Arabidopsis thaliana: one gene and its partner. The protein of the gene in region 1 interacts with the protein of each later gene in a pairwise test. Each region holds a gene or a part of one and is shown on either strand. Other genes may lie near its edges. The genes, in order: PTR1 and AT2G22180.

Region 1 (17,876 bases):
TGTCTTTTTTGTCTTTATCATCGTATAGCTGGAGAATTTTGATTTTAGCTTCTATAGTGTTTCTCCAGATTACGTAATTCCGATAGAAATGATTTGATCTCGGAATAATCGGTCAGATCTGTGGCTAGAAATTGAATTTTGGCATGTGTAGTGTTGTTGATTTATGCTTTAGATATGATTTTGCGAAACATTGAAATGATTATGAGACTTGAAAATGGAATCTATTTGATCATTGTGATTGCTATGCAACGCAACTGTATAATGTTTAATTATCCTCAGAACAACATGTATCTTCTCTTTGGCTGTGTTGTTTCGTCAGATAATTCTGTTCTTATGCAATTAAACTCTCTGGACCAGGTATGCACAATTCCATTGGACACTGCTAAAGTTAGGCTTCAGCTCCAAAAGTCTGCTCTTGCTGGTGATGTTACTCTGCCTAAATATCGAGGATTGTTGGGAACTGTTGGTACCATAGCAAGGGAAGAAGGGTTACGTTCACTATGGAAAGGTGTTGTACCTGGATTGCATCGTCAATGCCTATTTGGAGGTCTTAGGATTGGAATGTATGAGCCGGTGGGTTACAAATTCTTCTTCTTTCATGCTCCAGAAAAGTGCTTAAACTCAGTGTTTTCCTAGTTACTACTTAAAGCCTTAACCAATTTATTCTACTCAGGTGAAAAACTTGTATGTTGGAAAAGACTTTGTAGGTGATGTTCCATTGAGCAAGAAAATTCTTGCTGGTTTGACAACAGGTGAGCATAACGATAGACCAGCTTAGAAAAAACACGTAATATATATTTCCTCTTTATCACTTAGTTGGGCTGTTTTTGTTGTCTAACTCTCAGGTGCACTGGGTATCATGGTAGCAAATCCCACTGATCTTGTGAAAGTTAGGCTTCAGGCCGAAGGAAAACTAGCTGCAGGTGCGCCAAGACGGTATTCTGGAGCGCTGAATGCTTATTCAACAATTGTGAGACAGGTAGTTATCCCGACTTGGAAGTTGAGATTGTGCATAAGTTGCTTCAACTCTACTTCATATCTTATTAATGTGGCTCTGACAGGAAGGAGTCCGAGCTCTTTGGACTGGTCTTGGACCTAACGTAGCAAGAAACGCTATTATCAATGCTGCTGAATTAGCGAGTTACGATCAAGTGAAAGAGGTATGAAACTAATATGTTCTCTGTCTCTCTTTCTAAATAAGAGATCCTGATATTTGAAGCAACCAACATTCCTTTTTTTTTTTGTGTTCAGACGATCTTGAAGATTCCGGGTTTCACTGACAACGTTGTCACACATATTCTATCTGGACTGGGAGCAGGATTCTTTGCTGTCTGCATCGGCTCTCCTGTCGACGTGGTAAAGTATTTACTCATGACATTGAACCTTGAGTTTATTCACCACGTTTCCTGATTGTCTACTTAAATCTTGTTGTGTGGCAGGTTAAGTCAAGAATGATGGGAGATTCTGGTGCTTACAAGGGCACCATTGACTGCTTCGTCAAAACTCTGAAGAGCGACGTAAGCAACTCTGCTTCTGATACCTCCATTGTTCTAGATATAACCCAGAAAATGTTACAAACTCTTTACGGTTTCCTCTACAGGGTCCTATGGCATTTTACAAGGGTTTCATCCCCAACTTTGGACGCCTTGGCTCATGGAACGTAATCATGTTTTTGACCCTCGAACAGGTAACAACTGATAGAATTTTTATTTTATCGCAATCGCATTCGAATCGGTCACGCAAAGTCTTCTTTCTCATTTTCTAATCCGGGTTCTTAATACTCTAATCCAGGCAAAGAAGTATGTCCGGGAACTCGATGCGTCCAAAAGAAACTGAGACACATAGTTTTAAGCAGAGGGAATAAGAGCAACATTGTTTTCTTCTTCATTTTCGGTGATTGAGAGAGGCCAGAACTTGGTCGAATATTGTTTTCGGAATAGAGATTCAGTTTTCGAGTAAAACTGTGAAATAAAATTTCTGTGGATTGCTCATATATTGGCTGTACCATCCAACATTTATCAAAAATCATACATTTTTCTCCTTTCTTTCCACAAAACCGAGAAAAATCAGAAAAAGAAACTCCTGAAGAAGAAAGAGGTGACAGCATCTCAGCTCAGTTTCTTATTTTCCGGATTAGCCCATATCTCGAGTCTAAGGTAAAGCTCTCTAGTTTTGTTGCAGATAAACTCAATAGAGCCAACAATGTAATCCTCATATCTCTCATAGAAAGCTGGAACCGTCATAACCACCAAAACGCCTGCCAAATTAACCAAGAACAACCACAAAATGAATATCCAGCTCAAAAGCATTCCAAGTCTATAGGAGTTTTAGAATATCTACTTACTGGTGTGGCAAAGTGTCTGAAAATCCATGAGACTTCCGATCAATGAGAGAAGAAACAGTGACACTGCTACTTTGGTATACAACTCTGAGTCTCTTGCCATTGCAATGTCATGCGAAACTTGGAGTAGCTTGTTCACATGAATACGTAACCATATCGAAGCTTCTTCCGCCATCGCTTCACTTATTTGAAACTCCGGTAACGGCGGTGATGGCCTGAAGAGCCAAGAAATTGAATCAGAAATGAAGTAATATTAGTTACAAGTGAATATTAATATACCTGTTGAGAATGGAAGCAGATTTGGACCAGAGGAAGAGAATAGAGAGCAAGAGAAGAAGAACACTTGAAATAAGAGTAAAGATAGTGTAAGCAAATGCCTCAAACACCATCCATGAAGCTATTGTCACTGTAACTATACCAACACTCACATTCTTCTTCCTCCACAGCATCACATCTGCAACTGCAGATTCATTTCATAACAAGAAAAAAAAAAGGCTATAGAGGTGAGAGATCACCTAGCTTTTATAAGTTTTGGATTTGGTAAAGAAATGTATTCACTAACCAATGCCTCCTCCCAGAATCTCATGTATTGTCCTGTCTCTGTTGAACAACTTGTCCGAAGAAGAACTCATTTGAGAAGAAAGATCAGAGCAAACTTGGATTCAGATTTCCTCAGATGATCAGATCCCAAAAGTAACCCAGATATGTATATCTTTCTCTGAATGTCAGAAACAGATCATTATGTGAAAGGAAATCCTAAAGGCTCGAATCGAAGGAACCTGATGTATCACAAAGAAAGTAAAAATAAAAAGTGAAGAAGAGACTAAAGTTGGGTCATCACCATCATCATCAAAGCCATCAACTTTGAATATACAAATAATTAATTAATAATTCAAAGGCTATGCTCTGTTTAGGGAAAAAGAAGGTGTTTGTTGTCCTCTCGATGTTTTTATTTCCAGCCTAAAAGTGTTATCCTTCTTGTTTTTTTCAAACTGTAAAAGTTCGCCAGATTGTACTTAGAGATGAATCAAATTTTACACCATCCTTTTATATTTTCCATAGAACACATTTAAATTGGTCATTCATCTACTTTTAGTCAACTGAAGTAATTTATGTACCCTTTTCAGATGTAGTTTCCTATGAATTCGAAAAGGTCGAATCTTTATCCTCAATTTAAGATTGTCAGAAGAATTTAATATGGTAAAAAAATCAAACAAAAACAATTCCACAAACCATTTATTATCCTCTGTTTTCTATCTTTCGATGTAAGCTTTTTTCTTTCTCTGTTCTGTATGTAAAATTGTTGATAACTCTTGATAACAAACCAAAACAAAGAAACAAAAGTGAATATCCCACCACCTCCATCAATAACACTTGTTCTCTATTTTCTCTGCTACTTTTGTTTCTCAGTTTCCTTTTCAGAAGTGCCCACAGCTCCGAGATTGGCCTCAGCAGCAGAAGCATCAAGCAAACTTGCTGCAATTGCTGCCTTCAAGTCATCATCTTCCATCTCTGAAAAAGCCTGCACTTCCTCACGTGACAATGCCTGATTCCGTCTTTGTTGATTAACATTGTCATTACTTCTCTTGTTTCTGGCAGAAGAACCTGAGCTCGTGTTCTTTCTTATTCTCTCTGCGTCTTCAGGAGAAAGCCACTGCCCGAAACTATTGGAAGCTTCAGAAGAAGACGACATGGGACATTCCTGAGGGAAGTTTCCTTTCACTATGAAGATACTCCATCCTGCGCCTTTGAGAGAGTCTAAGAACGCAGAAAGGTAGAACTTCGATAAATGTTGCGGGGCAGCAAGGAGACTATCAAAGTTATACCATTCGCCATTCACTTTCCTTATACAAAACCAATGGTCATGCAAGTGGCAGATAAAGGCGCTTTCAAGCTCAGGGTCTATCTGCGCAGGCTCTGCATCTGGACAATTGAGTGGAATTACTTGTAGATCCCACACTTCCAAAGCTTTTTGCAAGACCTGTCAATCAAACAGAAGCATTCTCAGTTAAACGAATAAGCAAAGACTAGATCAACTTTGCAAGATTAAAATGCTACACCAATCGCATAAACCCTCTGTTTGCAGTGTTTTATCCGCATCCAACTTCAACGTAATCCGTTAAAATAGCTTTAATTTTAGATATCTAAAAATGTGATGTAAAACACCATACTATACCCTTGAATCTCAATACATAAATCTTGCAATCAAACCTGACTTTTGTAGCAACCTAATCAAATATCAAGTTATCAACCAACTCGGTTTAAAGCTATCCAAGAAACAAAAGATGATAATTGAATATACAGAACCTCACTAATAACTAACATATCCAAAACAATTGAGTCCCAAGATAAAAAAAATCATCTCAAGTTCCTCCATTTATCAGCATAGCAATGTTCGCACAATGAAACTAGCCTTCAACAAATGAGTTTTAACCCAAAGTAAAGATCGCAAATTCACACCATTACTGATCTCAATTCTTCTTGAATCTATCTAAAAACGAATCCAACCATTCAAAAGTTTATCACTTCAGCATAAACACAGCAATCAAAAGCACCATAAAATCGAAACCCTAATTTTGCCTAAACTTCCAACAACACAATAACAAAAAGGCTTTACAATATATAAATGTTGAATGCAACTCAAGATTTATCAATTTCATCGCGAATTCGTACCTGGATACTAAAATCGCCGCCGAGGGAAACATTGTGCGACTCTTCAGCTAAGAAATCGCCGGGAGCAAAACCTCCAACGGCAGCACCTTCAAGCATAACCTGACGCTCCTTCCCGTCTAGATCGGCGGCGACGGCAGCCAAATCGAATTCAGAGAAGAAAGGCCCTTGCAACACCGTGTTGACGCAGTGTACGGCGCACAGATTTGACTCTTGAACCTCGTGATACAACATTCCTCCGTTGCTTGTTCGTTCCATCGCCGATTAAGATTTGAATATCAAAATTCACTGATTTTGCGATGAATATATTATTATTGCTCCGATGCAAAAGTCTCAAAGAGATTGTGAAGCGAAGATGAAGATGAAGATGAAGAAAGAAGAAGAAGAAGCAAGTTAACAGATTATTTAAATAAGAAAATGTAAGGGACGGAAAAGTAAATATACAATAAAAGGATGCCACGTGTAATAACCGACTTTCTAGGCCTTTTTCTTATTTTGCAGACGAGCCCGATACTGTTTTGAGATAGGCCCATTATCTCAAAATTGACAGACCAACTTAGGTTCCTTGCTTCCCAAGATTTCTGGTGATCTCTTTGATGGCGACTTCTGATAATGTGATGGGTATGATCGGGTTGGTTTATGCCTGCATTTCGTAATAACCACGTCTGAGAGCACTAATACAGAGTTAGGAATTATACTACTGAGAGCACTAGCAGCAATGTCCGTGAACAGTTTAAGAATTTAGATAAGTTAGTGACAGATTTAAAGAATGAGATTCTGTATAAGCTTTTACGCCCTCTGATTCTTTCATCAAGGTAATACATCTACTACTTCTACCTGTTTGTTCTAAACTCTTATTATGGTCTAAATTTTTCCTTCTTAGCCATATAATTGCAAGGCTAGAGTTGATTATACTTTGTTAAATGATTAGGTTTGGTTTCATTTCCAGATAGTCCTGCTGGCTATTTCCGCTTCCGCTCATTTAGTGACCAAACCTGGCTTCATCGCACCACCACATTCGTAAAATGACAAAAAAACTTTCTCTTTTTCTATGTGCATATAGTTGAGCTCAATAAAAAGCTTGTTTCTGACTATATATATATAAACCATGGGTTTTACTGAACAAATAAACCCCAGAATCAAAATCTGTTTTTGACGCTTGCTTGTCTCAATCTTGTTAGACAACCTCCAAGAAGCCAAGGGGGCTTCCTTATGCATCCTGATCTTGAGCATTTTCCAAACAGTTCAGATATATAGTCAAAAGTAAAGACATCTTCAAAGAAACAGAAGAAAATACTTGATCTCTTTGTTTAATGTCTAGTAGTAAGTTTACATATGTATTGACAATAGGATCCTATGTGCTTTGCTTTTTGTTAAGATTTCCCATGCTGTTGTTTAGTTTTTGATTTTATTTCCCAGCTTATTGCTTATAACTTCCAATGTATATAATAAGTTTCTTAAGAGCAATGGCAAAATATAGGAGGACATATTATCAGACGGTCAAAAAGCTTTAAGCAAAAAGCTCATAAAATAGTTACCAATAGCCTTTTACATATAAGTGGAAGACTGGAAGTATTCAGAAATACATAAGCAAAACCAAAACAAACCTAACACACCAACAACAACTAGACCACATACAAAAAACATTTACAAGCAAAACACTTTTCAAACAAATACTGTTAACTCCAAATATCTTCCACACCAGTTTCTTGATCAATGTGCTCGACCAACAGCTTTCTTGTATTTGTAGCGTTTTGAAATCCAGAGGTACACTAAGAAGTTGAGGAAACTGAGAGTTGCCAACAAGTAGAAAAAGTAATCAAGATGGCCTCGGTTCAAGTTATCCGGTATCCAACCCGGTTTACCGTTCTTCTTCGTTATCTTCATCACAACCGTCACAAGAACTGTGCTCAAATAGTTCCCCAACGCAACCGTGGTCAACGACAAAGCAGAGCAGAGACTTCTCATGGCATCAGGAGCCTGATCATAGAAAAACTCAAGCTGACCTATAAAGGTGAAAACTTCTGCACAACCGATAAGTAAATACTGCGGTATCTGCCAGAATATCGACATATGGATCTGTTTTTGGTCATATGCATTGTGAGTTTTGACATAATCAAGCCTGACAACCTCCAAGACTCCTGCAGTGATCATGGCAAAGATGGAGACCACAAGACCTATACCCATACGTTGAAGCTGAGTGAAGCCTCGTTCATTGCGTGTGAACTTTCTTGCCAGCGGGATAATGAACTGGTCATAGACAGGAGTCCAGAAGAGTACACTGACAGTGTCGAAAAGTGAGAGTGAAGCTGATGGGATTTCAAAGTTTTTTCCCATGTGTTGGTCCATTGTGTTTCCTTGTAACACAAACATTGTGCTCATTTGGCTGTACACTGTGGCGAAGACTATTCCTGTGGCCCAAACTGGAAGAAGTGTGATTATTGACTTAAGTTCTTCAACTTGAGTAACAGAACATAGTCTCCATGGATTGACTTCCCCGTCTTTGATGCTATCAGATTGACTCTCAACCGCTGCCTTGTCAAAAAACCTGAGATGTTTTCAAAACTTTAGATTTGAAAACAGAGTATTTTTGAAGTTAGGATAAAGATTCAAACTTTAGTTTCTTACTTTAAGTTATCTGTGTGCACAAGTTTCCGGCTACCTTTGATGTTACTCTCATCATCTGCAGTTTCAAAGAGCAGAGACTTGTCCTCTGGAACCTTAACACTTATCTTCCGAAAAGCCGCTACTATAACCTGAAAGATCCTAGTAAGTGGACTCCCTCCAGGTCTCTGAAGTCTGTAAAAACGGCTTCCGAAGAAGAAAAAGCAAACCGCGATAACCATCGCGACTGTTGGAACACCGAAACCCCATCCCCAACCAACATTCATTTGTATCCAGACGAGAACAGTTGCAGCAATGAGAGCTCCAACATTAATGGAGAAGTAAAACCAGTTGAAGAAAGAACTTTTCTTGATCTTCTCATTCTCATCATTCTCATCAAACTGATCAGCTCCAAAGGACGAAACACACGGCTTTATACCGCCAGTTCCAAGAGCAATCATATAAAGCGCGACAAAGAAAACAGCAGTCTGACTAGAATTTGGATGACAAGTATCAGCATTGCAGTTACCTGGTTTAAGTCCAGGAACTGAAGCTGATAATGTCAAAAGAGTCATACCCTTCAAGAGAAAAAACAAACTTAATTAGTTTTAACCAAAAGATTCACATTTTTAACCAAAAGATAAGAAACAAGTAAAACTCACGGAGACATAGATGAAAACAAAAGTTGCAATAGTCCAATATCGTCCAAGGTAAGCATCAGCTATAAAGGCTCCAATCAAAGGAGTTATATAACATGTTCCAGACCAATTCGTGACGTTATTTGCAGCCGTAGCATTGCCTTGATTCAGACGGCTCTCAAGATAATTCACAAGGTTAGTGCCCATGCCATAGTAGGCCAATCTTTCACAGCACTCATTTCCTACACAAAACACATAAAACTGGTTAATCTTATATGGATAGATCCAATCAGGGCCCAAGCTATATAATAAAAAAATATAATGGCCCTTTCTTTATTTAGACAATTTTTTTGAAGAAAACAGAGCAGATTTTAGGTTTATAACTCTTTTTTCATAGTGATCACCCTACAAAACTAAACATTTCCAATAATATTTTAAATTTTATTTGTTCTCTATCATTCAATTTGCTTTTAATCGTATATAATCTCTTTTTAATCATTACATTTATTATTTACATGTAAATGTTTTTAGTGGACCTTAAAAAACAGGGGACACGAGAGGCCATTACTTAAGCTGGTCCAGGTCCTATACGGCAATAATGAAGAAAAAGATTGGTGAAACGATTAGAACGTTACCGAGAATGAAGCGGCAAGCTTTCCAATTTCCGGTTTTCTCCTTGTTTGCAGGATTTTTGTGAATATCAACAGTTCCATCTTGCGTATACACATCTTTTTCTTCCATATTCCTAATAAAGAAAAATAGTTTAGCTTTTTCAAGAAAGATGTACCAAACACATACCTAAAGATCCCCAATTTAGAGATCCATACTTCAGGTATAAGGTTATGAGAAAACCCTTAAAAATATACGTGAAAGAAATTGACTAGTAGATGCTTAGATCGAAATATGCAGATGAAGCAAGCAAGTACGAAATTTTCATGCTCTGAAATTATAGTTTATGTGTGACCAGATGAGGTTATGGTTGTAACTTGTAACGAAAGGAAAACTCATAAAAGACTTAGAAAAAAGGGAGAAACCTTTGTCGGCGGCAGCTGAATCAGCGGCGGAGACGAGAGGCAAGAAGAGAAAAGAGTAGCCGAGGGCGAGGAATTACACGGCACTTGTCGGAGTAATAATGAGCATGAGCTTATAAAAAAGACTTGCAGAGCTCTGGTCCCGTACAGCTTTTATATCCAAGGAAATAGAAAGGAGCGTTGCTCACTTTTCTTCTCATGTTTGCAGTTTAACCCTTTGAGTTTTTGTATATTTCAGTTAGAGCCGCAAGGCCTATTGTGCTATCAGATTTTGATATTATCTTGTTTTGACTCCAAAGTGTAAATAGATCAATATCGAAGGACGTGTTAATCATCCACCAAAACTTTAGTGGACTCTTTTTGTTTTTTATCCGATATTACGGAATTGACATTACCAGAAAGATAACAAGAAAGAACTCCTACTCAAAACAAGAAAGATACAAGTGTGAATACAAACACTTTGGTCAATAAGATGATTTGGAGTTTTCTTATAAAATTGAGTTCATACTCTTTCTTTTTTTATTTGAAACTTGTGTTCATACTCTAAATATCAGATTGTCGATTTTGAAAAAAAAAAATAGTTAGGTTTATTAAATTTGGTTTTGGTTGATGTTTGATTTTGGATATGTGAAAATAAAGCCAAAAACATCACTAGATTCAATATTCAATTTGGTGGTTCAGTCTAAATCCATTTGATTAAATCTCTAATCACTCCCTCGATTAAAAACATTGTTTCAGCTTTAAGGTCTCAGTGGATCTTAAAATATAAACTAGGGTAGTGATATTAGAAAGATAATTAAAGGTGTTTGATTTGGTTATGCTAAAATAAGAGGTGCTAATGACAATTAGTAATAAAGTAACCGTTGATCTAAAGATTCACCGAGGACGAATATTAAAAGATGCATGTGAATCGACATATGTAGCTGGATCCTGTTTATCTACGAGGATTTGGCTGTTTATCGACTTAGTTGTTGGACTTGAACTCTTTACTCCAAAAGCCCAACAAACTAAAGAGACAAAACCAAAAGTAAAATTTGATGTTTATGAAGCTAAATTTGAAAAAGAAAATATATCTGACCAAATTTGATATTTATAAAGAAAACATATTTGATGTATTTAACAATTTTTAAATTGATGACGTTTAGTTGCAAACAAAATAAATAAATAAATAAAATAGGTAAAAAACAGTGTGCTTTGATTGCTTTTATTTCATTGGAAGTCTTACCACGGCTTCCATACTCTTGTAGTCAACTTTTCTTACATATTCGTCTAATCAGTTATACCAATATATACTTTTGAAGTACACTAACTAGTTTTTGTTTTTTTTGTTAAAACATTAACTAGTTGTTGGGATGTGACATCGAGACTATGATGTTTCAAGGTGGATTTTGTGCAACGTGAGTAAGTAATCTTTGATCAGTGGTTTGAACTTTGAACTAATCATTATATCATTTGACACATTTTAAAATCAAGAACTAATAATTAACTATAAAACTTCAACGTTGATATGAAAGGTTGTTGCGAGGTCCAACTTTAATAGAATAAGTACGAAAATTGTTGTCAGATCTAACTGAAAATATAAGTAAAAGATAACACTTGATAGATCCACAAATCAATGATGTGCAATTATATAGAAATTTGGATCACTCATATTTGATTATTATTTCACGGGAATCATAGTAGTTGACCTTTTGATTCTAGTCTAATCCATTGATTCTTCAAATCCAATTAAGAAAAACCAATTTGTGCTTCAATTCAAAGCATTCTTTTTTTTTTTTCTTTCTGAAATTAAGATCAATTCTCTAAGCTAGCTAAAACGTATACTTGAGAGCTGTTTGGGAAGATAACTCTCTAGAAAGAAAAGCTAAAAGGTAATCTAGGTATCATCACTATCGACGACAACTTTGTTTGCCATTAACTTTTTAAAAAGTTGTAACTAATCTCACAACAGATCAAACCTGAAATAAGCGTGTAGTTTTATTTTATTTTATCAAAAGGTTAGATAAATGAATTAAAAATTCCTTATTTTTGGGCGTCAAGAATTCACATCCACGAAAACATTATATTATGACCGCTAAAGAAAGGTTACATCTAGGCTTTTTTTTTTTTTTTTTTTTTTTTTGTTTTGTGTATGGTGAATGGAAACTCCAATTTTCATTTCTTTTCGCCACCAGATGTTTCCATTTTACATAAAGTCTTCAAAATTTTCTTTGGAACTCCCAAATCCAATAATTGACATACTCAACATGAACTTTATTACTCAGTTGTACAAAAACCAACGGCTTTAATACGGAATAATGAACTGATATCCAAATAAGAGTTATTGCTTTCTCAAATGGTTTAATATCTATTTTTGGTTAAAACCTGTAATGAGTACTAAAAACTGACGATGGTTTATCTTTGCATGCGTCATCTTCACTTGTATTTTGTTTCTTACTTTGTCTGTCTCCTTCATCGGATGGTTGTGGTCTTTTCTGGTTTCTCCCAACCTCCGTTTCAAGCAAGAGACGACCTTTGTTAGACAGTACTTGATCAGATTCGAATTTTTCTTCCTGTTCAAAGACAAATTGTACCAAAACCTAAGTAATAATAGTTGATATTTCCTTAACCAAAAAAAAACACTAGTTGTTATTTTAGTGTAAAAAATTAAGTATATTTTAACGTATTGAATGATTGCCTAAGATGTTGTAGTCATACCGGAATTTTTCCAACAATCATGTGAGCCTTGTAGAAAACATCTTTCACTTGGGTTTCATCACCCCAAGCCTCCTCAAATTTGGTTATTAGATCTTCATTTATAAGCTCTACTCCTTTTTCCTTAGCCTTCATCGCGGGCTGCCACGATCTCAAGAACCCTATAAACCCTTTAAGCGAAAGTTTATGCGGAATGTCTAGAGTAATAGGCTTTCCTTCGGAACCCATCCCTATGGTCTCAAAAGGAAATGTCAATGTCTTGTAACCGTCAAATGCTAAATTCATAATAGGAGTTCTAAAAGGTAGAGTAGAGTCGACAAGGCGCTTCATTATGGGATCGATCTCATGCGAGATAATGATATCGTTGTATACCCAAACGGCGATTAGGCCTCCTTCTTTACGAAGAACACGTTTTGCAACATTGTAAAATACGTTGAGGTCGAAGAAATGGACAGCTTGAGCAGCAACTATGAGATCCACGGAGTTTTCTCCCCCGAGTAGATCCACCATCTCATCTTCTGATATCGTTGTTGGAGTGTGATGGTAACTGATTCTTGAGTGTTTGATTGCTCGTTGAAGTTGTGCTTCGTTTATATCGGTAGCCACTACATTCTCGTAATGCTCCACAAGCTGTAAATTATAGATTTCATGGTATTGTCAAGCTTAGTTCACCTACTATATTCTATATGTGCATGCATAAACATCAATAGGCAATCTGCAAGAGGCGAGTTCACTTAACTTATTTTGACAACATATATTTCAGTTTATAACTTGAGTGGTGACGACAGTAATACTTATCACTAGGTTGCAAGTCTTGAACAAATTCACTTACTATACATTATATATGTATGATATACCCACAATTCCACATGCATGGTCTCATTTACCGTTGATGAAATATTAATGTTTTGTGAATCTAGTAAAACAAAACAACATCTAAGCTCAGTTTTGTCTTTAATTTACATTTTCTTCCAAATCAGTCTAAGCTCATTTGCTAAAGACTATATAAGTTACGTAACTTCATTTTTCCTACCTCTTTTTGATGTAAATATTTTTTTAAACATTATTTTAGGTTAAAAATATCTATAAAAAATTATGCATATATTAAATACGTAATAAAACAGCAAAGATCGTTGACTAAAAAGATAAAAATAACAAGATCAAGAGGCTGAATAACAACAATCAAATTTGCCGCAACCAAGTTTGACTAATCTTTAGAATGATAGACATGATCACATGATGATTCACTGAAAGAGGCCCTCCTAAGTAAATTAGCTACCTTGTTGCTAGATATTTATCAGCAAATCTCAGTATCACAAATCATACTAACTAGAACTTCATACTAAAGGAAAAAAAAAAAAAGAAAAAAAAATAAAAAAGAACTTCATACTAAATGAAGGTTTTCAGATTTTCCCAAATCTAAATTAGAAGATATATAGTATTATAAAGCTTACCCCAATAGCAGCCTGACCATTACCAGTTCCAACATCCCAAGCAAATTTGTGGTCCTGTGTCCGTGCGGCAATTTTCTTAAACCAATCGATCGGATATCTAGGCCTTGCGTCGAGATAAGCTTCAGCCTCTTTCTCTGATAAGGCAGCCATTTTCTTCTACGTACCTCTCTCGTTTTCTTTCCTTGGTTTGAATACACAACTAATTCGTTTTCTATTTAAACTCTCTCGAGTCTTGAATAGTCTTGTTTCTATTAATATATTATGAAAAAGTTTAACCAAGTCCAACTTGGCGTGAGGTAAAGTTTCACTGCAAGTCCTTCCTAAGACGTCGTTTAAGACTTTTTTGTTTTAATATATTTTTTGTCGAAGACAAAATAGTCAGTATATAGTTGTAAACCAATATGCAGGCAATGCAAGTTTCCACGAAATGGTAGAGAAAAAAATGATTTAGTTATAATCAATTTTCTTTCAATCTCGAAAAAGGAAAATTGTACATATAATCTGTGTTTTATCTGTATTAGTGTTAGGCCCAAGTTCATTAGCTGAAGTTTCAAGTCATAATGGGCTCAATTTTGGGCTTATCTCTTGGGTTTAGTTTTTACAAGATAAAGTTGATAAAGTGAAGACTAAAATGAGGAAAAGAGAGGGTCTCGAGCGCTTTTTACTCTTTCTTCTTCACGAGAGCAGTGTCGTTGCTCTGATCTTGTAACTGTAACTCCGGCGGATTTTGCCGTTTATACTGGATTTTTCCGGTGTAGTATGTGATTCCTCCGATATAGACGCTAAAATCACTGTTCACCGTGAAACTCGTACATCAAATTTCGTCAATTGCGTTTCTTTATCGCTTTTGAGTTTCGACTACAATTCATGAAACCATGAGTGAGATCGTGAGAGTTCAAGAGATCGTTTCTAAACTCTGGAACCTAAACATAGCCTCCAAAAAATCCCCGAATCTGGTTACGATCATATCGAATGTTGGTTATAATCCTTCGTTTGAAACTAATGGAAGCTTCAAAGATTTCGTTTCTCGATTACTAGCTCGACGTGACAGTTACCGTATAAGGAGATTCTCTTTGAAACTACGTTCTTTGGAATTTGATTCAGCTAAGTACCATCTTGTCAACGAATGTCTACGCAATGTGTTGAATCGAGGTGTTTTGGATCTTGAATTGGACATCAATGTCAATGAAGTTTACAAATTGCCATTTGAGGTCTTCACTTGCAAGAAAGTTGTGAAATTGAAACTAGGTTCTGATTTTGTTATTGACAATATCCCTAAGAACGCTTTGCTTCCAGCTCTTAAGACTCTCTTTCTTGATAAAGTTCGGTTCATTGATAAAAGTGGTGGTTGTGCGTTTACAAGGCTTGTTTCTGCTTGCCCTGTGCTAGAGGATTTAGTGATATATAGGAACAACCGTGAAGATTGGGAATGGTCTCGCATTGTGTCTAGTAAGATCCTTAAGAAACTTACTATTCGGCGTGAAGACTGGGAAGATCTTGATGGCTCTAGTTATGAGTCAATTAGTTTTGATACTCCGAGTCTTGAATACTTCGAATACTTTGATGTTCTCCGAGATGGGTATCCAGTTGTTGATCTCAAGTCCCTTGTTGAAGCTAAGCTAGAACTTCCTCTTTTTATGGTTGGCGATACCTACGATGTTAAGAATCTGATTAAGGGCTTAGAAAATGTTCAGATTCTGAGCTTAGGCGTTGTTGACACGATGCAGGTAAGTGATCGCTATTGTTTCTCTTTAATATGTTACTGTAGCTTAACAACTAGTAGAGCATGAGGAAATTTAAATCTAGGAACCATTGAGATACTAAGATCATATCAATCTTGCTAGTGATTAGAATGTTTGCTCAAGTAATGACTGACTTAGTTGTTTTTAATTCTGTTTCAGGTGTTTTGTTTCTTCGAAGAAGCAGTACCAGTGTTTGAAAACCTGTTTCATTTATCACTTAGCACTGAAGTAGATTTCTGTTGGAATGTTCTACCAATTCTGCTTGAGAAATCTCCAAATCTAAAGACTCTCACCATTCAGGTATGACCTAAGACCCCCAAAAGTATATTGGACAAACTAAAGAGTCAAAATCTTCAATCTCAAAATTCCTGTCTTTTCTAGGCTTTGCATTATACTACTAATCACTATGGGGATGAGAACACTGTTTGCGATTGTTTGGAGGTGTATTCTTTCTTATCGTCCTGCCATATTGAGGTTCTAAAGATAACCCAGTTCAAGGGAGATATCGGAGAGATGGTGCAAATAAAGCATATCTTGGAGAAATTGCCGAGTCTTGAGCTGTTGGAAATTCATGGTCAGGTAAAAGGAGATGACAAAAAGCTGCAGATCATGTTGGATCTCCTAATGTTCGAAAGAGCTTCGTCTGAATGCAAAGTCGAGGTCAAGTTTCCAGTTTGTTTTGCCTCAGCATGAACTTCCATATCTGATAAGAGAAACAAATGAGCTTCCGGTTTGTTGTTGACATGAGAGCTGGTTTGTTTAGTGTCTTTCTTATCCATGCAATTTCTGTATATAACAGCTTGACATTTTTGTCATCTTTGGCTCCTTGTTGTGTCGTTTCTTCGTGCCTAATTCACTTGAGTTTGTAAGAGAGATGCTATAGCTATTAGCTATCAGCTACGTTAGGTCTACTATGACTCATTTGTGCTGTATGTTATTGTTACTTTACAGTTTACACAGTCTATTTGACAATTTGGTAAATGGGATATGATTTGACTGATGTTGTTTGTTTCGGCTCTAGTAACATTGTAGTTTATATGTTTTATCAACGAGCTAAAAATATCTCAGTATATGCAATGCGCAGAGAACTAGAACAAAGCTTGATTTAAAAAAGAAACACATCATAAACCAACATACACAAGAACTAGATGATTATGGCTACAAGAGACTAAAGTTGTTATATAGATTGTGTCCAGAGATACAAATACAATACACACGAAGTCATTAAGCATTGACACTCAATTGTTACAAAACCCGAAACCATCACACATAAACGTAGCCATAGTCAGATAATGAGAAGAGAAACACAAATACGTAGCCATAGACAGATAATGAGCAGAGAAATATAGTTGAATCTCTTTTTTTTCACCTAGTAAATAATGAAATTGCTAACAAAAAAGGGATTTTATTTGTATTTTAGTCAAATAAGTAATCTACATAGTATTTTTGCAAAATTTTTTGTCGGGATGCATTTAGATCAATTTGGTATCCGCCCATTTTAATAATTTTGTTCATTGAGTCTTAGTTGGGTCGGTTCAAATAAAACTCGATTCTAGACCTGTTTTAAAAACTTTTACAACGGATATTTCCAGATTAAACAATATTAATAATTAGAAGATTTGGTTAACATTTAAAACTATAAATCTTCTTTCATCTTTGTTTGAATTTTTTAACTGTTTTAAATCAATATATAAAATTAAAAATAAATCTCAAGTTTTTATCCTACATATATTGTGATTCGAAATTTTAAAAATGGACATATGTTATCTAATGGACGAAAAATGTGTGGGTTCACGGTTCACCGTTTCACATCAGCTAAAATTAAACAATGATTTAAAATCATATCATAAATAAGTTCAACATTAATAAAATAAATAGGTTTTTTGGCTAGACGAATTTAACGAAACGGGTTTTTAAATCAACATTAATAAAAAAGTAATATATCATTAATTCACTGTTTTAATACAGATTAAATCCTTAATTTATTATTTTTAACACCACCAATATTAAACATATCAAATCAGTTTGAATAGAAAATATTGTATAAAACAAAAAAAAATGTTCCGTACTATAATGTTACTTAATAACAATTATAAATTATAAAATATAAATATTTCAAAAAATAATATAATTTGTAAACTTTTATCCATAATAAATAGCCATTAAAATTTAAAAATTACTATTTTTAGAAAACAAATTACGAATTAGAATAAGAAATTACAGAACATGATATATTTTGGAACAGAATAATATGGCGAACGATTTTGAATAAATATTTTTAAAATTTTAAATAATATTAATATGCCATTTTAATACTAGTTAAATCTTCAATTTACTATTTACGATTGTCTCCTGAACACCTGTTATACCATTAGTAAAAAAACGGATCCATGACCGATTGACCACGTTCTCGTCTTCCCCCAAATCTAAAACCCTAAATTCTCAATTGCTCGTCACACTTCGTCACTCCACCAGCGACAATCGCCGCAGAAACCTCTACGAAACTTGCTACAATGGAGTTTTCATCACAAGACGACGATTTTGGAGGAGACGATTCCGCTGCTAATGCCACCAGGGCTTCAGGTCCCGACATTAATGGATTTCTCTTAATTCATGGTTTTTGTTTAAGGTTGGATTGGACATTAATTTCTCATCTGTATCATTCAGGTAATAGAAGAAGCTTCGGTGATCTTGAAGACGAT
Region 2 (16,152 bases), on another chromosome or scaffold:
ACATCATACATAAAATAGTATTTAATTTGATTTGTTTGGTACGCTCACAAAAAAAAATAGAATAAATGAATATAGTGTCTTGCAAAACATCATACATCAAATAGTTCTTTGATATCCTAACTATTATTACTGGTTTCTATACAATTTTATATATCCAACCTTTACCCGAAATGAAGAATTCATTTTATAATAAACTATAAAATTTGTCTTTTTATATTCTTGCTAGAAGATAACAATATTGTTGTCATAATTAGGACTGTGAAAATGGTCCAAAGGTGCCCTTAATAAATAATTGGACCTATTTGTTTCACTTTCTAGTGGAATATCTTTATACACAATTATTGTTTCTCCACTGTGGTTTCGCGAAAATGACCACTCAACCTTTTCTTGGTAGATGGTAGGGGTATAGAATAAATGATTCTTTATGTATATTCGATTTTTTAAAATAATCAAGTATATTTAAAATAACTAGCGCACAAAAAAAAAAGAACATTGCATTTTGAAATCTGCGGTGAAATATAAAAATATTTTTGTATAAACTTTCATAATTTGTATTTTCTTATTAATACATTCCACTTATTGAACAATAAGATGGTGAGGCCAGATTCTCGCAAAGCATTTCCGTTTATTAACACATTCGCCTCTAAACGGGTAGTTGCATTCGCAGACAAGTACCTCTATGGACTATGGCGAATTCGACGAAGCCAAAGATCATATATTTTTATGAGTCCTTTCTCCTTCAAAACGTGGCCTTAAGTTGGTGGTCCTCTACTAAGCTCGCATCTCACTCCTGATTGGATGCATATGCAACCCCACCTCGTCAATGGCACTATCAAAATTCTCAGCTTCTATCTCTTATGTTTGTTGTGAGCGATAGTGTAATGACTATATTCAATTTTTACCGTACGAAACAGTAAACCGTCAGCTCTAGTGATCGACAAAATAACAGATCGGGTCTCCTCGCACCTATATTTTAATATGACTTGTCTTCACGACCTCATTAGATGTTGGCTCGAAGGAAGAAGTACTGATCAAGATTGTTTCTTTTCAACTTCCATTCTTCTAAAAGTCTATTTGTTTCTTTTCAATCTTCATTCTTTTAAAAGTCTATCTTTTCTTTCAAACTTTTGAAATTCTCTATTAATTAAAATATAAATATCTTTGTTGAAGCTAAATTTTACATTCCAACAGAAAAAGAGAAAGTTAAACTAATAGAAATGTACAGACGGCACTTATTCCCAAAATGTAAGTTACATTTCTATAATAAAACTAACAACACTGAGAAATGAGAATGATCTTATCAAAAAGAGAATGATAAAAAAAAAAAGAAAAAAAAAAGAGGGAATGATCCCATCAAGTTTTCGGAGTATTGCTTGTACACACTTGGTCTAGGAAAAATCTTAGGAGGTGAAATGTTACTTTTGCATTTAGGCCCAATTATATCTTCTGTTTTTAAGAAGTTCTGACTAGTCTGTTTATTTGTAATCTGGGCTAAACTAAATTTATTTGTAAAAGCAAAGGTACATTTAAAAAAAAAAAAAGACGCTCACTCTATTGTGTTCTTCTTGTTCACGTTTTCTTTTGTCGCTCAACAATATAGAGTAAAAACAAAGACATTAGGGAAAAAAAATGAACAATTGAACATTACATAGAAAGTATGAATTAATTAAGCACATTGTTAACTCTAACGACACAATCATGTTATATATAAAATATATATAGAGCGAGTGTCAGTTCTTGAACTCACTCTCACAATTCTCCGACACAATCTCAACCTTCTTCGCATCTAATAGTCCCTTAACCTTAACATCACAAGTCACCACCACTTCCTTGTTCCGTTTGACCGGCCCTGCTTCATACTCAGCCTTCAGCTCCATATTCAGCATCAGAACAACCGGTTGCTTCGATCCACGAGGTTGTACAACTGCGTTCTTGGTCGACCCATTAAGCTTCACATTGACCTTGTCGGATCCAGATGCGGCCTGGGACAACCCCGGAAATTTCCCGCTCCCCAGGCTCTTATTCTTGTACGTTAAGGAAACGACCCCGTTCTTTTCCATCATGTAGCGTACTCCCATGTTAGACGTTGGATTCTCGGCTCTTAATGTGACCTCAAAATTACTAGGATTTACGGTCAATCTCTCGACCGCGAAAACAGGAAGAGTGGGGTTGAAAGCGAAATGGAGGATGAGAATGATTGCACCGAGTAAGAATCCGAAAATGACCAAGATAATGAAGAACCACAAAAGACGTTTAGAACACCCTTTCTTTTTGTTTTTCTCCGGGTTCTTGCTGCGTTTCTCGACGTATTTTGCATGTTCCGGAGGAGGGGTCCAATAGACTTGATCTCTCGGGACTTGGACAACGTACGTCTCTAACTCAGGGATTGAATCCGGAGGAGGAAGAGGCGGAGAAGATGTCGTTGGGAGTGGAGACAGATTAAGAGAATGATTACGCCAATGGTGTGAACCGTGCGATGGAGGATCTAAAGATGGCAATGCGGGGAGGCTAGAGGTTGGACGGTGCCAAACGGACGGAGGATCATCGGGTTTGTCATCGTCAGAGTCAGGGGCGGTGGCGGAAGGAGGACGCCGTGGCCCCTCCATCGGAGAAAGGTGGGAGTTACGAGATGTGTGGTGGAGATTGGTCTACAGAGAAGACGAAAGAGAGAGAATTAAGAGAGGATGCGAAAATTAGGGTTTGCATGGGAAAAGTAAGTGGTTGTTGTTGCATGACTCAAACTTTTGGTTGGTTTTGAGAAGATTTTGCTATTTAGAGTTAGCCAGCTCACCTTAAATTTCCCTTTTTCTGTTATTTAGAAAACTATATTACAGAACTCATATAATATAGTATTATGGCATTTGATGATGATCAACGAAGTTGTTACTTTTTGTTTACAAGATATCGATTTTCTAACATAAATTATATATGCATATAAGACATACATGAGTAAAATCTTAAAAAGGTTAGCACATATTGGTAATGTTTATCATGAACGAGTCTTATTTTATTTTGTACGTTTCGAACTAAAACCATTTTTGGGTGGTATTTCTGGACCAAATTTTCATTAAAGTGTTTTTTATTTCAATTCTCTTGCAACTTCTGTTTCTTTAGAAAGCGAAAAATGCATATATACGAATATACGTTGGGATTGACATGAACGGAATGTATGTATTTACACACATTAATCCGCAGCAACCGGCCATTCAAAATTATGTTTGTGGGCCTTGTTGCTGCTTCGCTGACAATACTATCCAAAATTTATTTCATTTTTCTTTCTTTGAAAAACACACAATCACTTAATTTTCATTTATAAATCAAACATATGTACATGAAAATATCAAGGAAATTAAAGGAAATCTTACCTTCATATGGTCGAAAGTTTTCTTTCAAAAAGCAAAAACAAAAATTAATGTTTCTCTAATTCTTCCCCGGCCCCAATCCACGTGAAACATGTTATGTTGCGAGCATTACACTGGAAACTGTTACATTACATTCTAATTGGCGAAAAATGAAGTGCATTTGTATTGTATCTCACGAAGATTTGCGTTTGTGACAAAAAAAAATATGCAATTTTTTTCGAAATCTGACAACCCATGCCGACCTGTCCGCCGAGTTAACGACGTGCTTATAGGATCCTTAAGTATTTTTATTCTTATTTCTTACTCATTCCAACGGACCAAAAACGACCACGTCATCTTCATACGCAACTCCCAAAACAGACGATAATTAAATCATTGAAATCTAAACTCTCATATACTTTAGCATTTTCAACATTTCTATTAATATTTCCATAGACTAGATCTCTCTTTCTTATACATCCATATCACCGATGATGCCTCGCCGTGACGTCCTCTTCCTCTCACTCCTCCTCGTCATCGCCACCGTCTCCGCTGTCGCATTAGCCGTAAGTTTTCCAAATCTGACTTGCTTCCTCTCATATATGATTTTGTCTAGAACTAGACACACACATTAACCAGATTTGAATATGTATATAATGACACAACATCAATGACATTAGTTTAAACTATTAGACTACAAACTTCTGTTTCTTCCCATTTAAAAAAATGACTTTCTTGATTTCACAGGACGATGAAGCAGATTGTGTCTACACATTCTTCCTTAGAACCGGATCAACCTTCAAAGCCGGTACAGATTCGATCATAAGCGCTAGAGTCTACGACAAATACGGAGACTACATCGGGATCCGAAACCTAGAAGCATGGGGTGGTTTAATGGGACCAGGTTACAACTACTACGAGAGGGGTAATCTCGACATTTTCAGTGGGAAAGCACCATGTCTTCCGAGCCCAGTCTGTTCATTAAATCTGACCTCTGACGGCTCCGGTGACCACCACGGTTGGTATGTTAACTACGTGGAAGTCACGACAGCCGGAGTTCATGCAAAGTGCTCGTACCAAAGCTTTGATGTTGAGCAATGGCTTGCGTCCGATACATCGCCGTATGAGCTCAGTGCTGTTCGGAATAACTGTCCAGTTTCGCTTAGGGAAAGTGTCGGTCGGGTCGGGTCTGAGATCCGGAAGACTCTCTCTTGGATCGTGTGAGAGTAGTGAATGAAATGTCAAATGTGTATGTGTGTGTGTAACTTGGAGAGTTGTTCTTTGTTGTCTTGTGAACGTGTGATGGCAATAATGAAAATGATTCGATCGAATAAAAGTTCCGTTCTTTGTTGTTTGTGAGATTTTTATCAAACATTATTAAGTTTTTCGTGTGATGAAATTAAAAGATAATTACTGATCATATTAAAAAGAAAAAAAGATAATTACTGGTTGATATAGTTTCTTTGTTTCGTTTTATTTTCACAAATAAACGTTCAAAGCTACAACCTTATGATTAATCAAAACTTTGCCAAATAGTATAAAAGATGGGCCCTTTTCACATTTTTCGATGTAATTTTAAACATTTAATACAGAGTGGATCTTCACAATTTTAATCATTTTTGTGCATGTTCAAAAAGTCAACAAGAAACTTACAATTTTGTAAGAAACATCAACGACATTAATTGGTATTGGCCTAAACCTCCTAATTAAGTGACATTTGGTTGAAACGGAACATTTCTTTGGGTCATACTAATAACTGAAAACCATTATCAAATGAATGACTTTAAAATTCCTCCTAAGGCACCATATAAATCTCACTATGCTCCTAATCGTCTTTTAAATCTATAAAAGAAGGTGTGAGCAATAAGTTCCTCAATGAAAATTGAAAAAGATCATCCCTGCACACATAATCTATAGAACCACAAAGCAATATACAAGCTAGACATAAAATAAATAGACAATATGCCTTTAAAAGATAATTACTGATTGTATAATATTTATTTACAAAGACTTCGTTAAGGTCAAAATATTTATGTCTAATCTCCATCCCCCTAGAACATGTTTTTTTCTTTCTTAATAATAGTAACTGTCTAAAAAGAAAGAATTTATGATTCTCATAAAAATTAGAAGAAACAGATTAAAATGGTTTTATTCAATCATATTAATTGACAGAAAATTAAATGTCATATAAACTACAATGAAGAAAATGATAAAGTAGTGAACCTAGTGATAATCCTTTAAACTAACGATCACATGATTCGATGCAACAAAGTAATAACAGACTTATTTGAATTGCCGCGTAAGACTTTGAAGATATTGCTTTCAAAGACGAGAAAACATTGTTTCATCATAAAAATCTTCAAATACATCGAAACAGTTAATGATCGCATGTTCATCTCATTTCTCATACCTCTTTGGACTTAACTGGTACGTAAAAAGATGATAGGCTAATAATTTCGTTGAGACAAAAACTAATTTAAGGTTAAAGCATTAACTATATAATTGTCTATTTTTGTGTTAACGATCACATGCACACATTCAGTGCAATTAAGAAAAAAGTTTGATCCACCAAGTATATATGAATGTGTTCGTTTGTCTACTTAACTCTCGCACTAAAAACAATCAAAAAGAAGAAATCAAACAAAATGACTAAGCATATCTTAATTATTCTTATGTTTACTCTTCTCATTCTAGAGCTAAAAGCTCATGGAACAAATACAATGAGACAAAGCTAAAAAGTGATGAGGGTCTGGAAAAGTTGTACAAGAGGTGGATGGGCCACTATCTTGTGCCCATCCACCAAACAGAAAGTAGTTTCGATGTATTTAAAAAAAATGCAGAATATATTGTCAAAACCAACAAGGAGAGAAAACCGTACAAGCTCAAGCTCAACAAGTTTGCAAACTTGACCGACGTCGAGTTTGTCAACGCTCACACATGTTTTGATATGAGTGATCACAAGAAAATACTCGACTCCAAACCGTTCTTCTACGAGAATATGACTCAAGCACCAGATTCCTTGGATTGGAGAGAGAAAGGAGCCGTCACCAATGTCAAAGATCAAGGACCAACGTGTAGTAAGAAGTCCTAAGAAACGTTTTAATAATGATATTATTTAAAAATATCAAGTAAAGTAAGACTATCTTTAAATGTTCTAAAGTAAATTATTAAAAAGTTTATTGCAGTATATAAAATATTCAAATTATAACTCGTTACTCAGTCGGAGTTTTTGTTAAATTTATTTTTGTTTAAAACAAATATATTACTCAAGTCTGAATTTTTGACCCATTACAAGTTTTCTATCATAGATTGAACAATTTCGATTCGTTTTTCAAAATTCAAATAATGACATATGCAGAAAAAAATCTAGCTTTTCTTTATATGAAGATTTATTTGTTTCACAAAAATAGAATCATGTAAAGATGAAAAGAAAAATATATGATTAATAATAAATTAATATGCTAAGTTAGATATCAAAATCTTATATGTTTATTTTGATTGGTCATTTTCTTAATTAATAATGTATTTTCCTTTTTAGAATTTAAATAAATTAATTAAATTAATATTTACCTTATTTATCCTTAGTATTTTCTTTCCACAGATGCCATTATTTGAACTTTAGTACAACAAAATCACCAAAATAAAAAAAAAAACTAAGAAATTTTGATGCACATATAAATAAGTATTTTGACTTATATTCAAATTGTGTGGAAACAATGATAATGATATCCTTCCTCCGATAAAACTAATCTTTTTTGTATGTGTGGGAAGAAGAATAGAGAAAAACTATAAATAAGGTTAGAGTTAATGCCTTATAAAGTGAGAATTAGGGTTTAGTTTTATTTTCGTTAGTTTGGATTTAGGAAGAGACTTAGTGGGCTTTACAATTAATTCAGTTTTGAATTATTAATGATTTATTTTATTTGTTATTTTAAATAGATGACATGTCAACTTTTAATTGGTTATTAGAGAAGAGGTGAATGTAAGAATTGTTCATATTTTATTATCATAGATGGTCTTTTATTCTCACTTATTAAACATAACGAATCCTCAAATGCCTCAATGCAAAGAGTATTTAATAGTACAAATACCCTTTAATACAAAACGAATGTAAGGCATGCTTGGGAAAATTATTGGCCAACACATATCAGAAACTATACTAACGGTTTCACAACATTCTTTCTTGATCCCATGGACATGTCCATGTAAAATTCCTTTTATGCTTTCGAGACATCCTCTTGATGTGCTTTTAAACGCCTTAAAACACCCCTCCGGATCCGTTGGTTGAGCACTCGAAGGAGACCAAGTCATTGCAAAAACAAAAACCATAAGAAAAATTATAATCTTCATCGTCTTAGATTCCATTTTTTCTATAATTAAATTAAAAAACCCAAAAAATTGTTTAGTTTTTTTTTTGTAATATGTTAATGATGGTGGAGCTTTTTATACTTTGTTTTGGTAGAATGACTAGAGATATGAGTTTATTCAAATTGGTAGATTTTCGTTTGCTCATTTCACCTAGCAGATATGATAATAGAGTTCCATATATCTTGGTATATATGCCATTCAAATTCATGATCATTTCCTTTATAAAAGATAGCCTTTTCAACAATGTCACTTAATTTTGTGTACGTGGACATATAATACACTCACTACAAAATACATTTACGTATCATATATATATTACCAAAGTAATTAAGCATTTCGCCAACTAGAGAGTGCCACCTGAACGTTTTTGTAAATTTTGTGCCAAATAAATTAGAGAATTACTAATGATGACTAGATTTATTTATATATAATCCTAGATATACAATATCACCTCATCAACTATTTTTCATAAAATGTTAATAATTAATCAATTTTTCAGAACTTCAAAACAAGAAAAACATTTTAATTTGAAGATGATCAACATAAGAATTGTTAAATTTAAGTTTAGACTGCAAAAAAATTTACATTTAAATCTTATTTGTTCCATGCACATCTTTTAGTTATATACGTAATGAGAACTTAAAACTAGTTGTTATGTTACAAAAAAATACTCTTTGATATTTAAGTTTAATGTTTCTTCAGGTGTAATTTTCTATATTGACGACGTGTTGGATCTATACAAACAAAACCCATCTCGAATTACAACTAAACAAGGAGGATCCACCATAGATGTTAGATGTCAGTCACGGAAGAAGAAAATTAGTCGGCAAACGTGGATCAAACCTGCTGGCTAATTAAGGAAAGCAAACCATGATCTTCATCAAAGAAAATCTTTTATATATATATATATATATATATAATTGTTGCTTTATTCAATCACTTAGGCAAAAAATAACAAAAATTCACATATAAATGGTCGGAATAGAGCAGCCAGGCAAACAAACAAGATGGCGCTACTGGATACGTTTCGCTTTACGCAAGAATCGATAACTCAACTCTCATCTCCAATCCAAAGGATGTGTACGCAGAGGTCAAGTTCTTCGTCTACAACAGAATCTACGACAAATACTATACCTACCAAGGTATGTAATGTAACCTATTGCCCCCCACCCGGTTAGAAAAGTGTTGTTTCAGTGCTAGCAGATTTTCATTTCGAGGCTGTCAAAAAAAAAAAGATCTTCATTTCCAGTTTATTGCTATGTTTGGACAATAATGATATGCTATGTCACATTTACTATTAACCAAACGTTCTGATCAATCAGAAAAAATAAAGTATCATGCATGGTAACTATCTTTTGGGTCCAGTACTTAACTGAACATCTATTATAAATGAATGTTGTTGTACAAACTGAGGCAAGGAGGTTTCATTTATTCAAACCTGAATACGGAGTGCCGTAATTTCAACCCACATCGGTGTTCTCAACGCTGACAACCGGATACATTTTCGATGGAGAACAGTGTGTGTTTGGAATTGACATCTTCGTTGCTCAAACCTTGAATGAATGGGAAGTTTTCTCCTTTGAAGAAAACATCAAAGATCCCATTTACACATGGAAACTCAACAGATTTTCAACTCTCTATAGTGACTCTTACACATCCGCCCTTTTTTCTTCTGGAGGAAGTAGCTGGTGAATCTCTCTCTTCTCTCCATAACATATAGATATATACACAAACACTACGGTATCTTTACGTCAATGTGTTAATAAGTAATGTTAATGATATAGGGTATTGAAGGTATATCCAAATGGAGATGGTTTTGTAAAGGGCAATTCATCGTCAGTCTATTTGTTGAGCGAGTCTAATGAAAAGGCTTATGTTCGAGCCAAGCTAAGAGTTCTTGACCAAATCCGATCCAACCACGTGGAGAAGCTAGGTCAGTGTGCTCTCCCTATTTATATTTCCTTTAATTTTGTTAACAACTAAAACTTTTGATTGATTCATATATTTTTTTGATGGACAGTGGATGGATGGCCTAATGCAACAGCTAATAATAATGGATGGGGTTTCGAGAAGTTTGTACCATTTGCAGATCTTAAAAATGCATCTAAAGGTTTAGTGGTGGAAGATGCGCTCAAGGTTGAAGTCGAGTTCATTGGCTTCTCTAAAACACAGACTCCACCTTAGATGTTTTTTATTAGGATATGGTTCAATATAATGTCCTAAATAATAATTGAGGAGTTTCTAGCTCTTTCCTGTTTTCAGCTTTGGGTTTCATTTTGCTAGTTCCATTCATAATGTGACCACATTTGTTTCTGTAAGAGCTTTGGAGTTTTAATAAAGAGTTTTGTCCTACCGGGAATGATCCTCTATAATAAGGTTCTATCGAAATAAATGGGTAGAATTATCATCATTTTGAAGAGGCATGTTAGGGATAATATCCCAAAACCAAAGTACTCTTGCATTTTCAGTGATATATAAGAGACATGCATATAACAATAAACTCATTGCTGATAGATTTTGAGTTGAAAATCTATAGTTTCTCATTTGGTATCAATAGTAACCCCAAATATGTATAATGAAAAAGAGGGATTTGATTCGAAATCAAGTGTACACTGAACCTTACGTTACCATGTAAACATGCTTAATCAAATGACACGTAATATATATAATCAAAATTAACGCAATGACATAATTAAATCATTTTAAAACAATGGCATGTCCATTTAAATTTCTCGAGAAAGGAAACATAGTAACTAGACCAAACAACCTCGTTTCATGAATTTGGGGCTTTAGAGTTTGCGATTTATCCGCCATATCATTCCCAAACATCAATGCTTTCGTCGCATGTGTATATCTCCTCTTTGTCAAAGAAATCGACTTCCGTCCATAGGGTTTCATGTATTTCATTCATACCTTATTAATTGTGTTTGATTTTATCAGTGTGTTTGTAATGGTGATTTCGTTTCTCTTTGTGTATGTAATGTTGATCTTGAGATAGCTTTATTGTAGAAATGAGTTTAATTGAAAGGGGCATTCCGAAAACAAATTGATGTGATGACATTAGTTGATGAAATTTTCACTAGAGCCAAACAATCTTTAACCGCCTTCATTCGTTGTACTTTTATTATATGAAAAAAAAAACACAGATTTTAAATTCATTCAACAAAAATATGTAAGATAATTATATGTAGAATACATTTGACAAGTATTAAAATAGATAAATATTGTCATTCTTAATAATATAAAAATGAAGCAAATACTCTTCAAATTGGCACTTCAATGCAATGAGTATTTGACAGTGCAAATACCCTTCAATAGAAAGCGAATGTAAGGCATGCTCGGGAAGATGATTGGCCAACATAAATCAGAAATTGTACTTACGGTTTCGCAACATTCTTTCTTGATCCCATGGACATGTCCGTGGAAAATCCTCTTTATGCTCTCGAGACATTCATGTGGTGGGTGTTTAATCGTCTGCCAACATGCGTTAGGATCTATCGGTTGAGCACTAGAACATGACCAAGTTATCAAAAAAGCAAGAACCATGAGCAGAAAAGTTGTCTTCACTGTCTTAGATGCGATTTGCTTTATCAAATTATAAACCAATTAAATGAATTTAGTTTGTGACACTTATGTTGTTGATGATGATGCTAATTATGTCAGCTTTTTATGGTTGTTCATTACCATATGTTTTGAATAGAATGGTTAGATTTTTATTTTATTTTGTTAAATAGAATTTTTGGATTTTGATTTACGTAAATTAGTAGTTCTTCTTCTTCTGCATTTCACCTAGTCAGAAAAATAAGCATAATTCAGTAACATATTAATTGCTACCCAATTTGAAGATCATATAGAATATAACTATATAAGTGATTATGTGTATTAAGGCATGCATGTTTTTAATTAGATATAGATATGATCCTATATCTAGGATAACATATCTTTTAATTTAATTGTTGTAGATTTTTTTTTTTGCTATGATATATTCATATTTTACTCTTCTTTTCAAAGTATAACTCTTTGTGTATACATTTCCTTATATATTTCTTCAATCAACATGCACGACATCATTTCTTCATGGAAAATCATCTTCAATCAAATAATTTTGCAAGATATTTTATGTTGAACTTCTGATGAATAAACATTTCACGTAAAGAGGACATTACAATGTCCGAACTGAGGAATGGGTAAAAATGAATTATATTAATAGAAAAACACACTTAAAGAATAACTTTTAGCTACCGTGGTATTTACAGAGATGTCATGCTGACGTGTTACAACCAGACAAATTCTCAACCAACTTAAATCATTGTCCATCCTTTATTAGATTATTCACAAAATTAACTATTAGTATTATATACAAATATCTTTGTTTTTAATATATAGACATGAAAATTATATGTTAACAAAGATATTAATATATAAACTACCTTTATTTTTTCTAATCAGATATTACCAATACTTTTGTAAATAAAAATATTTCAAAATATATAAAACAATTAAAATTAATTAAATTATAAATATTCAGAAGATTCTAAAAATATAATATTAATTAAATTTAATCAGAAGATTCCAAAATTTTCCGTTAAAATTATGAACATAAGAACTAATTTATTTATAGAACTTATATACATGTTTAAATCAATCAATGTATGAATAATAATAATTTTAATACAAAAAATTGCTGGTTCAAATTATTTTAAATAAAATTTACATTACATAATAAACAAACAAATTTCAAATTTCAAATAATAACATAGTAACTTTTGTAATTTACTACAATATATTTATTTAATAATTTATTTCACATATAATGCGGGTTAACTATCTAATAATAGAAACCAAAAATTTGGGCCTACCAGAAAAAAAAAAGAAACCAAAAATTTGAACAAATATTATTAGATATATAGCATATATTTTGGAAAGTTCTATACTTGTTTTTTCAATGAAAAAATGAAGAAGAATAGTGACACAATTCTCCAAAACGGTTACCAATTAAAATTTCAGTGACTTTTGTTAAGTCGTCCATTGTAGGCCGCTTATTGGGCCATAAAAGCGATAATAGTCAGCAAAATCCAGTAGCCGTATTTACTAAACTCGATATATGATGAAGAATGAAGATGAACCTGTATCCAAACACTCCATATTTTTTGAATACAGATAACCATGCAGCCAAACGTTGCTTAACCTCTGCGTTCGTTATCGGCGATTTCGAAATTCGAATCATCATCATCTTCCTCGATAGTCCCGCGCTCAGTCGAAATTCAAAACTCTCTCTTCCATGAACGATCACATTCTCATCTCTGACGGTGAGGATCAGACTACTCCACTTCCATCACTGTCGAAACGGGCTCGAAAATATCCAATCTCTGCGATACTGATATCGGATTCAGATCCGACACCGCAGAAGCAACCGCCGGAATCTTCTTTTACTCCTATTTTCGTCCCTGAGACACCTCTTTCCGATGATTTCTCTGTCGTCAAGTGTTCCTTTGGTTCTAGAGCTTTAGCTTCTAACCGCGAAGACAAATTCTCCGGTTAGTTAATGTTCGTCCTCGGAATTTTCTCGATTCTCAGTGTTTAGGTTTAGCTTTAGCATTTTCTACAGGAAATTGATACCGGAAAGCTTGTTCTACTAGCGAAAATTTTGTGATTTCTGGGGATCTTAGGCAGAATCATCAGGCTAAACAATATCTCTATGTTTCTTTTGGAATCTCACTAGGCAAACGGATAATATCTCTGGATTCGGAGTTTGAAGATAGTCCTCGACCTGAAACTTCGAAGAAGAATGAATCCGTGCTTGCTGGTTTAAGGGAGCCTCGGTTTGGATTGGAAGCCGAAACCAGTGAGGCATACTATAAGAATACTAGAATACCTGAGACAAATTTAGGTATGCTTACCCCAAAACCAAATTATTGTGCATATATATCAGAGTATACATGATGAACTTCATTTGTAGGGTCCACATACAAATGCTGATTGCTGTATTTTTTCAGACGATGATACTAGTTGGATGCATGAAGTCAGTTTTCGCTCTTCGCCAACTAATGATACTATTGAGGTACTTATCTGCAAGGAACTAGTACCATATTGTTCATCATTGGTACAGGATTAAGGGATTGTTGACTTTATTCGTTGTATGATTTTGCAAAGCTGTCTTTTTGAGAATGTGACAATTCTGGATTCCCATAACGTCTCATTTGTTTGTATTTTAAGAGTTCACGTTGTGCTGATGTTTTTTTCTTTTATTTTGTTTCTCTCTTACTCTTATTTCTAAATGGTATCAGGTTGTTTCTGACCAAGAAAAAGAGGATATAAGCGTTGAGAAAATTGGTCGAAAAAAGAAGATCAGAACTACAACTCTTCCAGTTCCAGGTGAGGCATTGCCAAAAAAGCGGCAGTCGAAGGAAGACAAAACAAGTGCAATGGAGGAAAAGAAGTTAAGAAAAGAGGTAAGTGTTCTTTACATGACTTTTCTATTTTTTTGTTTCTTTATCAATTGTTGACTGGCTTCCATAATCCAGCAAGAGAGATTAGAGAAAGCAGCCTCAAAAGCAGAAGAGGCTGAGCGTAAAAGATTAGAGAAGGAGAAGAAAAAATGGGAAAAGGGAAAGTTAGCCCTTAAATCTATTGTTGCCGAGATTGATACTAAAGTGCTTGAAGGATCCATTGGAGGTGAGGAATTTCTCTATTCTTTGTATTACTTTTCAATAGATCCTATAGATGTTTTTTCTTTGACTCTCTTTTTTTTGTTTCATATGAATGGTTTGTCACTTTAAGTATAGACACTGAGTGCCTCTGGTATAATGTGAACATAGGACTTCTGCTTTCAAGGTTCTCTGAGAAAGGCATTACAATCCACGTAGGCCCTAATCCAATTGAGAGATCCATTGTGTGGACGATGACAATTCCAGAGGATATTGCTCCGGTACAATTAATTCTCAATCACTTTTGTTTTTTTGTCATGTATGAAAATTAGTTCTTAGAATCCAGAACTTGCAACAAGAACTAGCTCCCTAATCTGGTCCGTATTCTTGTTTAATCTCAGGATAAGCATGTTACTTCAATATGTGTTTCAAAATTTCTTTGACGTTTGGATCATACTCTTCTGTGTTGCAAGTTTCATATCTTCGTAATTTTAGTGGAGGTAGTCAAAGCTATTATTTCATCTTTGGATAGTCTTTGAATGGCAGGAGTTTTGAAAAACTATTTTGAAAGTCTTCAATATTTCTTAGAAAGAAATCGATCGAAGATTACTTCATTACACCTGACATTGAATTGCGTTACATGTTATGAAATATAACAAAGGAAATGAAACCCTTTTGCTATGGGTTAAAGGGTCTTTGAAGTCAGTACTTGACTAAAACTATATGAAACATCTGTATCCAGTATCTTATTTTACTCTTTATTAACATCCTCTTTTCTCTGGTGCAGCTTTTCCCCCAAGGGCCCAAGATTCCTTATTTGCTACTTGTGTATGACGCTGAAGAATTTTGTAATCTTGTTGCTAATGGAAAATTTCTAGAAATCATCTCAAGAGTTCAGGACAGATACCCATCTTATACGGTGTGCTGCCTCACGAATAAGTTAATGTCCTACGTAAAGAAAAGGTGTGTTTGATAAAGTGATTTGGTGTTATATTAATGTTTCCGTCATCAAGCTGAATAAAACCAATCTTCTAGGGAAAAGGAAGAGTACAAAAATCCGGGAAATTGGAGACGGCCTCCTATCGATGAGGTAATACATTACCTAGTGATAATGTATGTAGAGGAAAGCCTATTTGTTGCTCCTATGTTTGTGTTTTTAAACATACTTTTGGGGCATTTGATATGTATTACACAGGTACTTGCAAAATTAACTACTCACTATGTTAAAGTACATTCCAGACACTGTGTAGACGAGGCTGAGGTGGCTGAACATATTGTTGGCCTAACAAGCAGTCTGGCCTCTTGCCAATTCAGGTACCAAAAATCTACTATTTTGATTTCTCTTACAGAAGACTTTATCTCGATTGATGTTGGATGGAATTTTTGATTTCTTTCCTCAATGAATCCCGTTAGACCAATCAAAGCAATAATATTTTGATGAAAACCTGTGAAGTCTAAATCATATACATCTTCACGCGTTTAACAACTTAACGAAATAAAGATCTAACATTGGGAGTCATCACAAAAATGGGCAGTAAGGCTTGTCTTGAAATAAGATCTGTAAAGCCTCTTATAGTCTTTAAATCATACAAGGCTGACTACCGAATATCTGGGAGGTCAACATTACGTAGAGCTGTAGTTGATAGATGAACGTGTGGCTAATAATGTATTTCTCTGCATGATTTTGAAGTGAAACTAATCATGGCTCTACTATGTGATGCACAGGAAGAAATTAACTATGTTATCAGTAAGCGCTAATGGTGCATTAGTCTCCAAGGATTCAGTTGACAAGCATT

Evidence for each region.
Region 2: the proteins of PTR1 (region 1) and AT2G22180 interact in a protein complementation assay, tested with the Arabidopsis thaliana proteins (one large-scale study listed by BioGRID).

Annotation. Positions count from the first base shown.
Region 1 is NC_003074.8:20,039,161-20,057,036, forward strand, and holds PTR1 (peptide transporter 1), read right to left. Parts: upstream 9,586-17,876; 5' UTR 9,288-9,585; intron 9,031-9,287; exon of another isoform or gene 8,999-9,030; 5' UTR 8,995-8,998; coding exon 8,889-8,994; intron 8,496-8,888; coding exon 8,278-8,495; intron 8,194-8,277; coding exon 7,640-8,193; intron 7,560-7,639; coding exon 6,725-7,559; 3' UTR 6,443-6,724; downstream 1-6,442. Other genes in the region: PUMP1 (plant uncoupling mitochondrial protein 1), read left to right, coding at 358-573, 674-752, 846-979, 1,062-1,160, 1,252-1,356, 1,440-1,517, 1,601-1,687, 1,792-1,836; AT3G54120 (Reticulon family protein), read right to left, coding at 2,109-2,257, 2,345-2,556, 2,621-2,801, 2,904-2,973; AT3G54130 (Josephin family protein), read right to left, coding at 3,735-4,322, 5,015-5,269; AT3G54150 (S-adenosyl-L-methionine-dependent methyltransferases superfamily protein), read right to left, coding at 11,642-11,836, 11,982-12,608, 13,433-13,582; AT3G54160 (RNI-like superfamily protein), read left to right, coding at 14,308-15,159, 15,334-15,474, 15,556-15,867; FIP37 (FKBP12 interacting protein 37), read left to right, coding at 17,688-17,757, 17,842-17,876. UniProt on the Arabidopsis thaliana protein: Peptide transporter. Mediates the transport of di- and tripeptides. High affinity transporter with low selectivity. No transport of amino acids.
Region 2 is NC_003071.7:9,415,423-9,431,574, reverse strand, and holds AT2G22180 (hydroxyproline-rich glycoprotein family protein), read right to left. Parts: upstream 2,833-16,152; 5' UTR 2,607-2,832; coding exon 1,731-2,606; 3' UTR 1,434-1,730; downstream 1-1,433. Other genes in the region: PLAT2 (Lipase/lipooxygenase, PLAT/LH2 family protein), read left to right, coding at 3,833-3,907, 4,089-4,565; AT2G22160 (Cysteine proteinases superfamily protein), read left to right, coding at 6,115-6,432; AT2G22155 (ECA1 gametogenesis family protein), read right to left, coding at 7,401-7,706; AT2G22145 (ECA1 gametogenesis related family protein), read right to left, coding at 10,986-11,255; EME1B (essential meiotic endonuclease 1B), read left to right, coding at 12,991-13,246, 13,432-13,599, 13,706-13,770, 13,997-14,161, 14,234-14,384, 14,528-14,637, 15,144-15,319, 15,392-15,446 and 2 more.